Oreochromis niloticus: one gene and its partner. The protein of the gene in region 2 interacts with the protein of the main gene of each other region in a pairwise test. Links are inferred from orthologs where the notes say so. Each region holds a gene or a part of one and is shown on either strand. Other genes may lie near its edges.

The links. The genes of interacting proteins can lie anywhere in the genome.
Region 1: the proteins of cep19 (region 2) and calcoco1a interact in binary tests that used the Homo sapiens proteins (3 or more experiments, as listed by UniProt). The two-hybrid records come from large-scale screens. The link is inferred for Oreochromis niloticus from reciprocal best matches to the Homo sapiens genes CEP19 and CALCOCO1.

Annotation. Positions count from the first base shown.
Region 1 is NC_031984.2:19,325,758-19,333,385, reverse strand, and holds the start of calcoco1a (calcium-binding and coiled-coil domain-containing protein 1), read right to left. Parts: upstream 3,108-7,628; 5' UTR 2,901-3,107; intron 1,804-2,900; 5' UTR 1,775-1,803; coding exon 1,643-1,774; intron 1,553-1,642; coding exon 1,450-1,552; intron 665-1,449; exon of another isoform or gene 575-664; intron 1-574. UniProt on the Homo sapiens protein: Functions as a coactivator for aryl hydrocarbon and nuclear receptors (NR). Recruited to promoters through its contact with the N-terminal basic helix-loop-helix-Per-Arnt-Sim (PAS) domain of transcription factors or coactivators, such as NCOA2.
Region 2 is NC_031986.2:38,135,654-38,143,602, forward strand, and holds cep19 (centrosomal protein of 19 kDa), read right to left. Parts: upstream 3,091-7,949; 5' UTR 2,917-3,090; coding exon 2,787-2,916; exon of another isoform or gene 2,745-2,786; coding exon of another isoform or gene 2,728-2,744; intron 2,411-2,727; exon of another isoform or gene 2,336-2,410; coding exon of another isoform or gene 2,256-2,335; coding exon 1,909-2,255; 3' UTR 437-1,908; downstream 1-436. Other genes in the region: pigx (phosphatidylinositol-glycan biosynthesis class X protein), read left to right, coding at 3,427-3,499, 3,825-3,912, 4,004-4,139, 4,267-4,480, 4,906-5,006, 5,102-5,239. UniProt on the Homo sapiens protein: Required for ciliation. Recruits the RABL2B GTPase to the ciliary base to initiate ciliation.

The sequences.
Region 1 (7,628 bases), on a different chromosome or scaffold from region 2:
CGTATCTCTCACGAACGATATCAAGTCATTTTGTGCCAGAAAGAAAATTCCTGTCACAAAGTAGAAGCTACAATCAGTTTTTGGCAAAGTGACTTTTATATATCCTTTATGAATCGATGTAAAAACTATCGTTGACAGTAAAAATGTCTTCTTCAAAAGAGAGCTGGCCAAGAGGGCAGGAGAAATTGCAACAAATATAACATAACAGATCTATAAAGATATTTTAAGTGGCCCAAAAGGACTGGATTGATTAAAATGTAGAGCACAGAGTGGGTACGATAATGCTGAGTTAAAAGACACTTGCAGAACAGGTCATTTCTTTATTTTGTACGTAACCACTTCATAAATCCTGTTGACTACAGCCTATCTACCAATATAAGCAAAGATATTAGTCATAAAAACACATCAGCAATCACTGTTTGGCATAAGAATGTCTCTCATAAAGTTGAAGGCTTACAAATTTTGAGAGCAAAATAACTGCTTTTCAGACCAGCTGTGCTACTTGCATAACTTTAAGACTTTCACTATCACCAAACTCCTGATTCTGTTTCCTTTTCATGCACCTTTAACCAAGCATACTGGAACTGATGAGGATACACCTCCTGCCTCCCACACTGACCACAAAGCAGTCAGCCTTAGTCTGTGACTCCTTCCAGCCTATAAAGTAAGCTGATCTAATATCATTATCTCACACAGACCATTGCTTCATGTTTGGAGTGATTTACTTAGAATTACTGTTTCACAATACAGCTACAGTAAAGGGCCAAGATAGAAAACAGACAGAGGGAATGACATACGGTAAAGTTTATGAGCTGTATTTCAACTTCGAGCACCGGCTAAGGTCACAGAAGAGGCGACCTTCTTTTTAAATCACTGCATTGCTGCTGATAAGGAACCATCAGTACTTTCTTTAGTTTCCTTTCTCTGTACTGAAGAATGACATTGACAGTATGTTTAAGTTAGCGATAAATCACTTTACCAGGGGTCAATGCCACACCTGCTGTACACGTGCCCCTCACCCTCAATCAGGCTTATCAGCTGCCCCTGACACACAGGACAAAGTGAACACTGTATTCTCCAGTGAGCAGCAGCAGTCAGCAGAGCAGCCTTTGGGCCATTGTCTTTGTCATCCTCATTACTCAACCTCCTGCTTACTAAAGAAATGAATTCAAACCATGACAGAGAGTGTCTCTGTTAGAAACCAAGCTAAGTTAGATATTTGTCTTGTGCACAGGATTTTTCCCCCTTTTTTCTGCTGAAGAATTATTTTAAGATAGAAATAAACATTTGCTTCCACTCAGTATGTGATTCGCTAGCATTTTGTAAATAACAGAGCAATTCATTTTACAGAGGCATCAATCTCCTGCTGAAGGTTTTATGTGCTGATCTAGTACAGATCCTGTGTGACTATGGGAAGTAAACACAGTTAGAAAACAAATGTATGAATACCCTGAAACTGAACACAGCAGTTGACATCTGTGCCCTCTTGGTAGTCAGCCGGGGCTAGCGCCCATACAAAGGTGTGGTAGTCCTTTACTGATGTCCATCCCTCCTGAAGAAGAAAATGTGTGCACAGTGTTAACTTTAAGTTGGATATTATTTATTTAGTTGCTTTTCGAGAAATTCATCAGAATAGCAATACCTTGAAGAGCCCTATCCAATCATTACTGGCCCATATGTGCCGTGAGCTCAGCGTGTAGTGGCAGTCGACTCTGCTCTCAGGAAAGTAGCTGCAGCCCACGTTTCTAAACTCCACCTGCCAATCCTTATCCATGGCAACACAAAACAAATGCTCTATTGCACCTACAAGAAAGAAAAGAAGGAAAAAAAAAACAAACCCAAAATCAACCTACAAACCAACATGCACAGTTACATTACACATTACATTACACAGCTATTTCTGGGATATAGGTAAGAGGTGGTCACTGCTGAACAAACAAGAGGCCCCAAGTGTGTGAATATTTTTGTTCAGTGTAAGATCTAGACTGAGTGCACACTTAAGGAAACAGCACCGATGCAGAACTAATCCTCAGTGACAGCATGGTCTTCAGGCAACACGACACGTTACACAGGTTGTCACCGGGGGCTATTTCAGTCATCTTCAAAATCATTTGCTATTATACAGCGTCACGTGTAGGCATGCAGTATATGGGCTCAGATTCCACTAGTGGTTACTTCCCACGAACTTGTGGTATCCCTGCAGTTAACCACACTGCTTGCCTACAGAAAGCATTATTTTTGTGTGTGGCGTAATAACTATGGTATAGGCAACATTTATGATGTGATGGTACACTGTTACACAAACAAGGTGAAACACATGGTAAATATACATTTTAATAGAGCAGTAGAGACAAGTATGATGAGATTTTCAAAAGGAACAAAAATAAAGCAAGCGCACAATAAACCCAATGAGGATTTACAACAAGCATGTTCTTTAAACTTGGATTAACTTTGACTCTTCTGTACTTTGTATTTATCCCCTGTGGTACAGTCAATAATCACAGATGATAAAAGTTTTCTATTTTTTGTGAAACACCCAAAACCTACATAAGGTACGAATAGTTTCTCATGTAAATACGGACAAGATAAAATACAGACAGTGCGTAAAACAATGCACCAGTGATCAAAATAGCTTTTCCGTGGACTCGTTTTACATGGCACGAGGCTTAAGGCCCAACAGTAGCACATGTCAAGAAAACAGTGTGTCATGCCCGTCGATGAAAGCTTTAAGATGACAAACAAACAATCACAGCCACTACGGAAAGACCTGAATCCGTGCACGTTAGTTATATTTGTTAATTTGATGGGAATGCAAATAATAAGAGACAATGCAGGGCTTTGTTAACTACCAAAAGAGATCTGCGCACATTATCTCGACCCGTTTCTGATGTCTTTGTTACCTTTACGGTCCTCAGCCCTCTGCAGACGATCTAAAGGAGCCCTCTATGTGCGAGGTACTGGACTGACAGTCCTCAAGAAACCCACGAAAAAACACGGCCGATGCAGACTCGCTTTCCTCACGGAGCTCAGCTGGACCAACAACGCGAAATAACAACAAAAAAGCCAAAGCAAAACACAAGCACGACAGCTTCTTCTGCACCGTGGAATTATGGGAGCTGTTGTTCACAACGTAGCTGAAACTACGCCGAGATACCCCTTTTTAAACTACAACCCCCAGGGTCACAGTAGACTAACAGATCCGCTGAATGTAATCTGACGCGTCTCATCGGCCGCCGTTGTTTTTCGCATCGGATATCTGCCAAACCGCGGCTGTCCTGCTCATTCACCAATGGAAAGAGTGTGTGTTATTTGCGATGAGAGGAAGACACACGTAGCGGATGTAATAATGAAAACGGATGTTTTTATGTGTAGTGATTGTTCGAGTTCATAAATATTTGCTATATTGCGCTGTAAACAAATCTGCGCATTATTTTCCATACAGTTGGTAGACTTCGCAATATGACGGTTATTTAATTTGATGGTAAAGTATTACAGGTTGTATAGTTTTTGCCTATTTATTTTAGTTTTAAATCAGTGTCCCACGGGAGCCTTTTCCACTTCATGTATCATCTGTACTTTGATGAGGTAAATCAGGAACCACAGCAGATCCTCTGACGTCAGCCCACGTTCCAGATTTAATGGAGGGGAATTCGGATTTTAGCCAAAAACATTTTCCAAAATAATCCAGTGATCCTGCATTTTGGAAGCGCCCCAATTTGGCAATTTCTTTAGGATAAGCCTGATATCCCACAACGTCTTCAAACATGAGGACAAATAGAGCGCATGACGAGGTTACAGTGCCGGGCAGCAGATGGCAGTATACCATCTTGAAAACCAAAATTAAACATGCAAGTCTAAGCAGACAGTGCGGTCTTTTAAGCCCACAATGAAAATATATCACAGCCTTTTTGTCCTTTCACTATTAGATACAAGATAAAGGGGGATACACTGTCTCTCTATGCTGCAAATTTTAAAAACAAAGCCTGGGTTCACCATCTCTAGCTTTGCCTTAATTCATAGATTTCATTTTGCAGATATATCAGAAGAGAAATGCAAATATGGCTGTGCAGATATGTCTCAAGGCTACAGTAGTAGTATTGTCTATCTGGGTTCACAATGTGTTATTTTGATATTTTTAATTAAAAAAAACATTAAAATACTGGTTTTAGTTGAACTGATTATATTAAATGATTTAAATTTAAATTAGAGTTAAAATGGCAAAGAAGTCTTTAACTGCAAAAAGCCATCAATAACAAAAACCTATTTAACAGAAATGGAAATTAAAAGTTAGCATTCTCTATTAAAGGTTATTAGTCCTCCACAACCACAAGTTAAATAATGCTCAGCCTGTATTATTATAGTTATTGATGTTACCTCATTGCCCATAGCCAGCCTATTTATCTCTGCTCATTGATGAGACACTCCAGTCACACAATACTTTACTCCTCCTCAATTAGTAAGTCCAGTTTGGCTAATTTAGTCTGTTGACGACACTATAAGGATGCTTCATGTAATTTTATGCCGACGGACAGTCAATGCTGAGACCCTATAAATTGTGTTTAAGTGGATTAATAGTGTGCTGAGCCTGTGTGAGCAAAGTGGTGATGGAAATAGTGGCTCGCTCTCACAGTGGGATAATTAAATAGGTTCTACTGTGATGACTGGCTTATTCAGTAGCCACTGTTTACATGCGTCTTTAGGCTTAGGTATTATTTAAAAAAAAGATTTCTTCTGTTGTATTCATCAACATAATTCAGTGTGGATGTCTTGCTTTTGCCATTTTTTAAAATCACGAGTTCCCTGGAACACAGAAAAATCAGATATACCAAAAATACTAGCATAAGTATTGTTTATGAATTAATCCTATATGCTTATTTCTACTGGCTTTGTGCCACTGTATTTTTTATTTTATTTTATTTTATTTTATTTTATTTTATTTTATTTTATTTTATTTTACTTTATTTTATGATAGTGTTGTGTCTGATTTCACATAGCCTTGACTTTGAAGCGTCATTGTTGTGTAAAATTAGAAGACGGTTGTGCAGTAGGAATGTGAAGGCTTCACCATAATAGAGACTAGACTTAAAGTGGATTGTCCATGAAACTGCTTGATCTTGACCTGGCTGCCTGCTGTTATGGCTCCTCTGCCTATCATAACATCCCACCTCTACCCTGCAAACTTGCGCACACATGCAGTTATGCTGACCGTGTGAATTTACAGCTCTTTTTTGTTTTTTGGAAGGAGATAGCTAACATTCACACTTCGAGGCGTTAGGTTGGGGGAAAAAATAGTGTTCTGGCACAAAACTTTCAACATGTTGTTTATTTATCTGTTGTGGAAGTACTCCACACAAATTTAATCCCTGTCATCTGCTGATTTCTAGCAGCTTGGCTTGGAATTTCTCTCAATGCTAGAAAATGGTATAGCCCCTGAGTGCTACTGCAGTTTTATTACCTGAGGTGGTTTGTCTGAATATAGCTTACCACATGTCTCATTCAAAGGGAATGGCAGGTATGTGTCACTAGTCATAAATTGCAACTAGCCTTCAGCAGTAATCAGTTGCCAAGGAAACCTCAAATGGGATTATGACCTTCTGTTGTGTATAGCCAAGCAAATTGTTAGAGTTGTCAAGATCCAAGAGACAAACATTAAAGATTTATGTCAGTAAACAATTTATTTTCTCATCATACTAAGTTAATGGGTAACGTGTCTTGCGTGGGAATAAAACCGAGAATATAAGTTGGCGGCATTTTTTTTTTTTCTGGCTGGGTATTATTTAAAACTATACGGGCAGTTTTGACTTTAATAATGGTAGTTACTGTGTTTTGTAGTGATGTTTGCTTGTTTTAAGATATAGTCAAAGAAAGGCATTACAAGGTAGAAAACAAAGAAAGAAGAGCGGAAGCAGAGTGCCTAGAAGGAGGGTAGAGTGTTGGGAGGGTGGAGGTAGAGAAATGGGGGACAGTGGTATTTAGTATGCACGGCCAAGCTGCCCCATCTGCTTAGCGCAGCAGTCCCTGTCGTATAACTGTCTGCAGGCCGTGGGCCACATAAAGAATGTCTCAGATTTGATGTAATTCCGCAAAATTAATGACAGCTTTACTCGGTATGGGCCGTGAGGGAATGATTAGTGTTTGATCGTCCATCTGATCAGTTCCCTTGGCTGGCTGCAGAGAGATGCTCCACTATATGCCGGTATGTTGCCTATGGCAAGCACACATGCACACGCAGATACACCTATCCCAGATAATTCCTGGGCCCCCATGTTGTAGTTTATGTTTAGGTTCTGGTTCGCGTTTCCCTCAACAAAAACATCCAATATCTTGTAAAATTCTCTGTGCTGTGACACTTCACATCAATGTGAACACCTACTGATGTGCTGGATGCAGGTCCCACTGGTAATGTGAATGTGCACAGGGCACTTTTATATTAGGCTGTGCGGTATTTCAAAGAAAAGTGGGCCAACCAGCATCCAATTTAGAGAACTCGGAGGTCACACTATGACCTTTTACAAGATATGCTTTACTGCAGCTGTGATTGGAATTGGGTATTAGTTTTTAAAAGGGATGGTGAGTGGATTGGGAATTTGAGAGAGAAAAAAAATTGATCCATTGGATGGATTGCTGGAGTTGGACAAGTGGAATACCTCTCGTCGTTTTAATTCAGCCCCACCTCAGTGTTCCCAACCCCCATCTCTTTCCTCCTCTTGGGCTGCTGCGTTTACAAGCGAAGGGGGCATTCTGTTTTACAAGTGAGCCTGGTGCGTCTCGGTGTGCTAGCAACATTAAAATTGAACTCGTCTTATCTGTGCAAACCGCGAGGCTTTACATCATAGGCTGACGTGCTACTGCCATGAGGCCCCACTGTGCTTTTATGTAATGTGGTGCAGTCAAAAACCCAGTGGACAATTAAAGTGAGCTGATAGATAAAGAAGTGATTGAAGACCAGAATCTTAGTTTGTGGAATGCCCTGTGTGTTGGGGGGAGGGACACTTTAGTGGTTTATTATTGTTAACAAGGCAGAGTCCAACACATGACATGCATCTCTTGGCCAGATCAAGATACAGCATCTCACGTAGACAGACTGAACTGGAGACACGGTTTTCAGAGTTGCACCTATTTTTTTGCTGAGTTGCATATGCCAAAGCTAATTTCCCATCTGACCATTAGTACTCTGGTCAAGTCCAAAGCATGGAGAGCCTAATTCAGCAAAGGCTTGGGGAGGGTTGTTTCTGCCAACACAGATTGTTGGACAGATTGGCAGTCCTTCACTGTGTGTTGATGCAGTACTTTTCCCTCAAATTGTGCACAATTATAACAAATCACTTGCAAAAACACCATTAAAGTAAACAAAAACTTGTTCCAGTTCAATTGCAATTCCGTTCATTATCCTCTCAGTTTTCTCCTTCCTCAGTACTTTAGAGTTTTTGTCCTTCCTTCCATGACACTCTTTCCAAATTATTTGAACATGTTTCCTCCTGCTTGGGTTCCCCCCTTCCCTGTCGGCATTCTCTAATCTCCTTTCATTTTGCTCTTTTTCTTGGCCCACTCTTCCTCCCCCACTGCTTTCTTTTTCTCCTCCTCATTTTATATTTTTGGCTGAGCTGAGGACCTTTCCTGGTGCAGTG
Region 2 (7,949 bases):
CTAGTTTACCTATGTATTATTTGTCTACTTTGGGTAAATCTGGGTAATCTTCTGGGTGTAGTTTCACAAATTGTCATTCAGAAAGTTGTTCCTCTTAAGTCATTTGCTTTGTGTGTGAGAGTGTGTGTGTCAGGCGCGCGCGTGTGTGTGTAAAAAGAAACTCAAAAACCCGGATTGTGTCTTAAGCATACTTGAAATATCAGTTTTATAAATGACTTTTAAATAAATTAACAGCCTGCTGAGAATTTACAATTCAGTTGCCCAAATCCATGTGTAAATGGTGATGGGAAAAGGAATTGTCAGGTTTTTTTTTTTTTTGTTACTACCTCCTTAGGGAATACATCGGCACTGCAAAAATGACTGCAATTGATAACAATGTAAAAAACTGTTTTGATTAGCTTAAACCAAACTAGCAAAGCAATGTAAAATCATTCTGTATTGCATTTTAACAAAAACCTGCGACATCTTTGAATGTATTGTGGTACTAATGGTCAGTCAGTCAGTCAGTGTCTATTGTCAACTGAATGAGGTATTTAAGCACTTTGAATGACATTTTCCCCTTAAAAGGTTTGATAATGCAGGCTTAGTTTTATGATATAGTTTATCTCTTTTAAAACTTTTGCCATAGAACATCATGTCAAACCATATATATGGAAGTATATATATTTTGTATGATATAAAACTATTTTGTGGACACATTTTTTTTTTCCCAAAGATATATTTGTTGTATTGCTTACTTCCTGGTGTACACTCAGATTTTATTTAATAGGATTTTAGAATCTTCTTTTCATATTCAACTGTGAATATCACTCATCTAGGTGTAAGCCACAAATAAAAGAACCAAAGTCTTTGTATTTTGTAAAATTCAGTATTTTATAACAAATAAAGATTCACTATTATCCATGCATAATTTTGTTTATTGCACCTTAAAACGGAATTTTATGTTTGTTATCATTATATTATCAGGTTGTTCTCAAACATTGTTTGGTTTTGTTTCCCCTGATTTAGAAATGTTCCTCTAGACTCTGTGCCTGTTTCATTTCATGACTGAAGTTTAGGTGTTGCTGGAGGCCTGTTCCCGAAAGCAAGTTAATGAAAATGGAGTTTATTAACCCTTACCTGAGGGAAACGCTTAACGAACTTAAACTATGGGTTAGTTACTTGGGTAACAGTATCTCGGGTGTAGTAATTTGCCTTAAAACAGGTGCTTTTATGTCATCAGTGTTAGAGACTGCAGTCACTGGATGTTGTAAATTTAATATCTCTATTGGTTGTGACTAAGAGCTCGTGCACAATCAACATTTCTGCTGACAGCATTGAAGTCACCTCTAAAAAGTGTCAGATTTGAAACTTGACATCTGTAAATCACCTAACGTATTACTGGACCAGGCTATGACTTTAAAATCCATAAGTAAACAGTCTTGTTTTTTAAGATATATTTTAGTGCCCATGAGGCTACAGCTGAAGAAATGGTCTGTCTTTAAAAAATATAATAAAAATAACTTACTACAGGATTCCAGAAATATCCTAACTTTGTCTATCAAGAAGCATTCAAGTGAAATAAATTATGACTAACTGGATCAAACCAATAGTAACAGTTACTATTGTTACCTTACCTAATGACCATTTATGCCTTTATTTTATTTTTGTTTTGTTTTTTACAGATTAATGCTATGGTACACAGACACAAAATCATAGCTCTAGTTTCCCTTGATTAACAGGCTTTGGTCTTTGCTTGCCATTAAGGGAGGTTCATGGTGGTTTTTTTGTCATTAAAGGCATAGTGTTTCTACTATATTGACGTTTATTGAAGCATTGCCATCTACAACAGTTGGGTTGTATGTTCCTGCAGTCTCACTATAGATTTACATCTACATTCTTAATTAAAACATTGATGAAGAGAGAGTTTTAAAATCCATCATCTGATTCTTCATCCCAGCTGCACTTTTCTAAGGTGGTCTTAGTGAAATCAACTTCCAAGTTGTAAACAAAGTCAGGATCATCTTTGTGCCTCCGGTTTTTCTCAAACAGTTCGTCCATTTGGCCTTTCTTGCGTGCCAGCTCCTCATCGTCCAGTTTGTTCAGGTCTTCGTCAGGGTCCAGACAGAACGAGGAGAGGCTGTGCTCCAGACTGAAGCCCTGCATGTGATCGCGTAGGATAATGTGAAGCTTCTCAAGCTGGCTCTGAGAGACACCCTCCAGGTAGTCCCTGTGTCGAGGGTTGTTCTTCAGCCTTTCAGCAGCCATGCTGTAGTCTGGAAGAGACGGCATGAGGTAATAGGATGGTTGTAGTCCTGCCCAGCTACTTCGTGGCAATCTACAAGAACAAAATAAGCTACATACATATGTTAATGCAGTGTGCATTCACGACTCCAGCTCTGATCACAGTACCTATGTCTCAAAAAATGGACTAACAAAAACAGGAAGGAAAAAACGCAGAACGATAAATGTATGTTTCCATGTATTACATATTAGTTATTTATTATTAACACTCACTAGCAATGACCTTAGTTAAACAAAGTAAGATGCTCCTATTTTAGTCAGAAATAGGAGCCTGAGGCTCAGCAGCTTGCAGGTAATCCACCTGCTGCTATCCACGAGATATAGAAATCAAAACTTCAGGGCCTCATGACTCTGACAGATTTGTTAGATTTACTAGAGTATTATATAATTATTAATATACAGCAAACGAGGCTAAAATAATATTCTCACACTGATTGTAGCTACCTTGTAACATGTGACATGGAGCACAGAGAACGAGTCCCAATGTGTCCGTGGTGCCTTACCGGAGTATTTGGAGAAATTTCGCACAGGTATTATTCTTTTTCGCACCTTTTTGGTTTCCGTGTGCTCATAAATTAAAACTATGGATGGAGGGCTGAACTGCACCCCGCAGCGCTTTGCCGCAAAACGCATCCTGTACTTCTATTACAACAAACAAACTTAACCCAATCCGACCATCAATTTAAACATGTTTAAAACAGAAACATCGCAGCCATAATTATTGCTACTAGCGCACAGTATGAATAAAAAAAAATCGAGCAGCGGCTTCAGGGATGATTACGCGTTGCCAGGTTGCCAGCAGAGCCTTTACGTAAAGACGCTTCTGTTTGTTGGGATGCCTGACGCTAAATTTCGGATTTAAAAAATTAATATAAAATCATTTAACTTTCACGTATCATTATTATTCATTTTATTCCTGAAAACTGCTTTCTATGTCTATAAATGTTACTAAATGTTTCCTTAAAAGCTTGTGTTTTTCAATCTCTACACAGGCACATTTGCAGGCTCCCTGAAACTACAAAAGGGGCCTTCAAAAAATCATCTTCCGTAAACACTTCAAAGAAGCGCTTAAGCGGTGGTAGCTGTGCTTGAGTTAAATAAACAGCCTATAAACGCGTCTCAGCGTTGGCCATTATATTTTTAATGTATTTTAAACTGTTCTGTGTTGTTTCTGCGTTGAGCTTATTCTCGAAATGTCACTGTTTGGGTGAAAAGGGTACGTGAGCTAGGTTCTATGTGAAAACTCGATAGTCATTCAATAAGCTCTCATTATTATTGATTGAAGGTCATTTAAATTAAGTTGTTGGGGGTTTTTTTTGGTTTTTTTGTTTGAGGGAAGGAATAGTATTTTTACAGTAGACAAAAAAGTGCTGTAAATATACCCCTGTATGGATAACATGACATATATAATCTAGCATAGTTTGAAAAACAAATGCATCTTTAATCCCATCCTGCGATTTTCCAAAAATATAGATACATGTTCAAATTCAAAAAGCTTTTACCTGGAGATACTGATCAGTGTAACCTGCTAATTTGTGCAGATGAGATTCAGAATCACTGTGATCTTCTGAGGCAGTGGCTTGCGCCCTCATCAGTGACAGTGGAGCTCAACAAAAAGGGTTTCCACAGGTATTCGGTTGTTTGTTTTCTCAAAAGAAAGCTGTTCTGCCTTTGGGGCTACTTGTCAGGAGAATCAATGATATTTTCTAATATGTTTTAGGGAGGTGACAACTACAGTTGAGTTCAGATCCAAAGAGCTCTGTGGTGTCAAAGTTTTGCTGATTCATAGATGGCCCAGAGATGTCTATGTTGATCCATATCAACTTGCATCCCTTAGCGATCAAAACAAGTGGAAGGTAAGACACCGAGCAACTAGATGTAGTATAACGCAGTGTAAAATTCTACTACAAACCACAGTCATGTACAAAACATGTGCACAGTGTATATGTTTTATTTAATTATTTCTGTGTTAAACTTTGTAAGATATTACTAGATTCACCCATTGACCTTGAGGTTCCTGCTCACGAAGCTTCAGGATTTGTCACCTATGTGTATCCTTTCTCCACTGGACCAACTTCCAAGTTATTCAAAGTAACAATTCCAATACATGGTCGCTACCACAAGCCCTCATTTGATGGAAAAATGTTTAAATCTGTTGACATAGAAGCTCCAGAGCTGCTGCTGCGGACAGAAAAATGTAAGTGGATTCATTTTATTTTATAGCAATTTCTGACACTATGTAAATCTATACAGAAAGAAAACAATGTAAACCAAATGTGGTATTTAAAATGCAATGTTGTGTCATGATGTGTAATGAAACAAATTAACGAAATACATTAAATCAACCTTACTGTTTGCAATATAATTTTACGTGACTGCATAATTAAACTAAATGATGTCGGAGCGTAAAATCCTAAATTTGTATCTGTTTTCTATGAAAGTGGAGTGTCAATGAATATTACCAAATTATTTCAGTTTTGTGGTTGTGGATAGGTTGCATACATATAATAACTTTAATGATCAAAACTTTATAGTATAAAAACAAAAATGTGACTTAAAAAATGTGACTTTTCAGTTTGGCTTTCTGAAACACTTTCTTCTAAAACTATTTCTCTTATCCAGGTGCACAGCTTAGCAGCTTAGAGCCTCACACAGTTGTGGATGCACCATGCACTGCCAGCAATTCAAGCACTTGTTCTTGGGTTAAAGTCAAGCCTCAGCAGGTGATTGTGTACAATATTTCACCAAATCTTGAGTGAAAAGGTGATTTAAAAAAACAAAACTCAATCATTCAATTGTTTCCCTTTTTGCCTTATAGGATCTCAATCCAGTGAGTTTCCAGCTCCCAGTGGGTGATGGGTCTTTGGTGGCACACGTATGCGGAGGGACTCTTCTTGTCACAATGATCTGCTGTGTGGCACTGTCCAAATACATGTGGAAACATCAAATAATTTAAAGAGCAAAAATTGTACTGGCATTATGTTGTTGTTGTTTTTTTTTATCAAACTAACAAGGAAGAGGCACTTTCAGTGTTGTTATCTTATCTGCAGAAATGTTGCAAGCAGAGAACAGGACTAATTGAGATGGGAAAGAATACTGAGATATTGCTGAAACAACAGATAAATGCTGAAAGATATCAGAATTTATCTTTTTCCATTCCAGCCAATGTAACTATGTTTATTTTGGTGAATCCCGCAACCTGTGCAAGCATTTTTCCTGCTATGACCTCATTTTGGGAGGATCATGATTCTTTATCTGTTCAGTTTAGCGCACCTAATTAAGGAACATAAAAATCTATTAGTTTGTACTGTTTTGGGGTATTTGGTAGTGATTTTCATTTATTTTTGTCTATAACATGGGCTATTATAATAACACGATTATAAAACTGGAGTCTACAGTAGTATAATCTGTATTTTAACACTGAATAAAATGTATACAGTTCAGACTGCTATAAATACAATATAACAACAATGTTAATAGTATTCTTTTCTTGTGGCAGTTTAAAGAATGCCATGATGAGGTAAAGGTCATATCCATTTGAGACAGAGTACCGGGTGTCATACTGTGCCAATGTTTGGACGTTTGATTTATGAGTGACAAACTGTGCTGCCATGCATGCTGTCAGGACAAAACAAGTTTTTTATTCTTCCAGCTTATCTGTCTTGTCTTATTGCATCTGTTATCCAGTTTTGGTCTCCTAAAAGGCTCCATTTGTAGTTGTATGTTCTTGACCCTGTTGGGTAGTGCATGTGGCACTACACAACCTATTTCAACATGGAAACGCCTTCACACAATGCAGTCAATGAAGAGCCAGTCAAATTTTTTTCTTGTTTTGCAGAGAAAATGCTTAGGGCAATTTAGAAATTGTATAATCACATAGTTTGTTAAAAAGATTTAAGTCTGCAGCATATTATGGATCACCAGTGAGCAAAGAGAGGTGCATAGTCACATAGTGTCAACAGTAGAAGTGTTTTTGAAATCATCCTCTGTAAAATGTAACTAGAACTTTCTCCAAAAGTTGAATCTGTTCATCTGGACGTAGCGTTTTGTGGGAGAAACGTTTCGTCACTCATCCAAGTGACTTCTTCAGTCTCAGCTGACTGCAGGTTTCCCCAAACCTTATAAACAGGACATTTGCATAATGACTGAAACCAGCCCACAGAAGGAACAATGGGCTGTGACGTTTTAACTAGAACTTTCACCACCGGGGGCAGTACCAGCTCCTGTAGTAAGAAAATGTACCTGAGATCCCCCAGTAAAGATCTGGATATACTCTCTACCTGAGATGATCACATACAGTGACACAACTGTCTTTTGTCTAAATTACATATCAATAAGAGCACACCCACTGCAAATAGCATTAGATATCTTGCTTGATCGCTATTTTTGACTGGGAAAATTAGCACCAAGAGCTTTTATCATACCAGTAATATACTCAGCATGCTCATTAACTCCTGTATTTTCAATGAGCTGTCTCCAGCAGTGGAAAGCTGCACTTATGTTTACTCTTCTTTTACTTGATTTCCCTTTGGGAGGTGATGCTGCTGCTGCTGATAACGGTTACTTTCCAGGTGCTTCCTCTGCTTCTCCATATTTCCTCTTCCTCTCATGTTGACTTTCTACACCATCTTGTGGAACAAACTGTTAATACAGAAAAGTACAATCTAGCCCTATTTTAACTTCAGTTGATAACTATATGCACAAAATATAGAAATTTTTTGTTATAAAGTCAATTGTATCTGTTGGAGTTGGTGGTGATGAGTGTCAGGGGTGATTTGTGACTGAAGGATAGCAGCAGAGTGAAAGTGAAGGTTTACATGATGGTAGAGAGACCTGAGATGAGATGGCACTGATAAAGACTCAGGAGGCCAACCTGGCGGTGGCGGAGTTGAACATGTTTAGATTTTCATTAGAAAGAACCAGGAAGTGCACAATCACAAAATTGAGGAAGATGTTGGGATAAGGTGAGATGGAGGCAGATGACCCACTGTGGCAACCCCTAAAGGAAGCTAAAGAACCTTTATAAGTTCTTACTAGTTTATGAACTATACTGCAGGAAAACTAATAAGTAGTTAACCTATTATCTTCCCTTTTTTTAATATAACTAACATATTATATGTCTATATTGCTTTTCCTCCCTCAAAATAGGCATTTTTTGTTGTTGCTATAAAAATTTTGCCCTCATTTGGAATGAGTCTTTGTGACTTAACATAAGTCTATACATTTTTCTGTTGTTTCTCACAGCGTGATGAACAACGATGTGTGTATAGAAAGTACACTGGCTAGTATGTTATTGGCTTTTTTTCTTCTTCTTTCATTTACGCTGTAAAAATCTGAGTATAAAATTAAGCTTTCAAAATTAGGCCATTTAAAATTTCCTAGGGCAGGAAAATAAACAAACGTTACATTAATGTCAGATTAGTGAGAGAAACCTCCCACATTATAGTTATAATTAACAAAATAATTGCTCTGCAGCTGGAAAATTACGTCTGTAAATGCTGAACTACATTACCTAAAACCTAATGAAACTTCCACTTTAATAAGTTTCAGCATGTTTCACATTTTTATTATTCTTAATGCTTAAAAACGTGTTATTGCACATTATGATCCGTGTGGTTTTGCACACGGGCTCTGATTTTTCTTTTCTTTTTTTTCTTTGCTTAAGA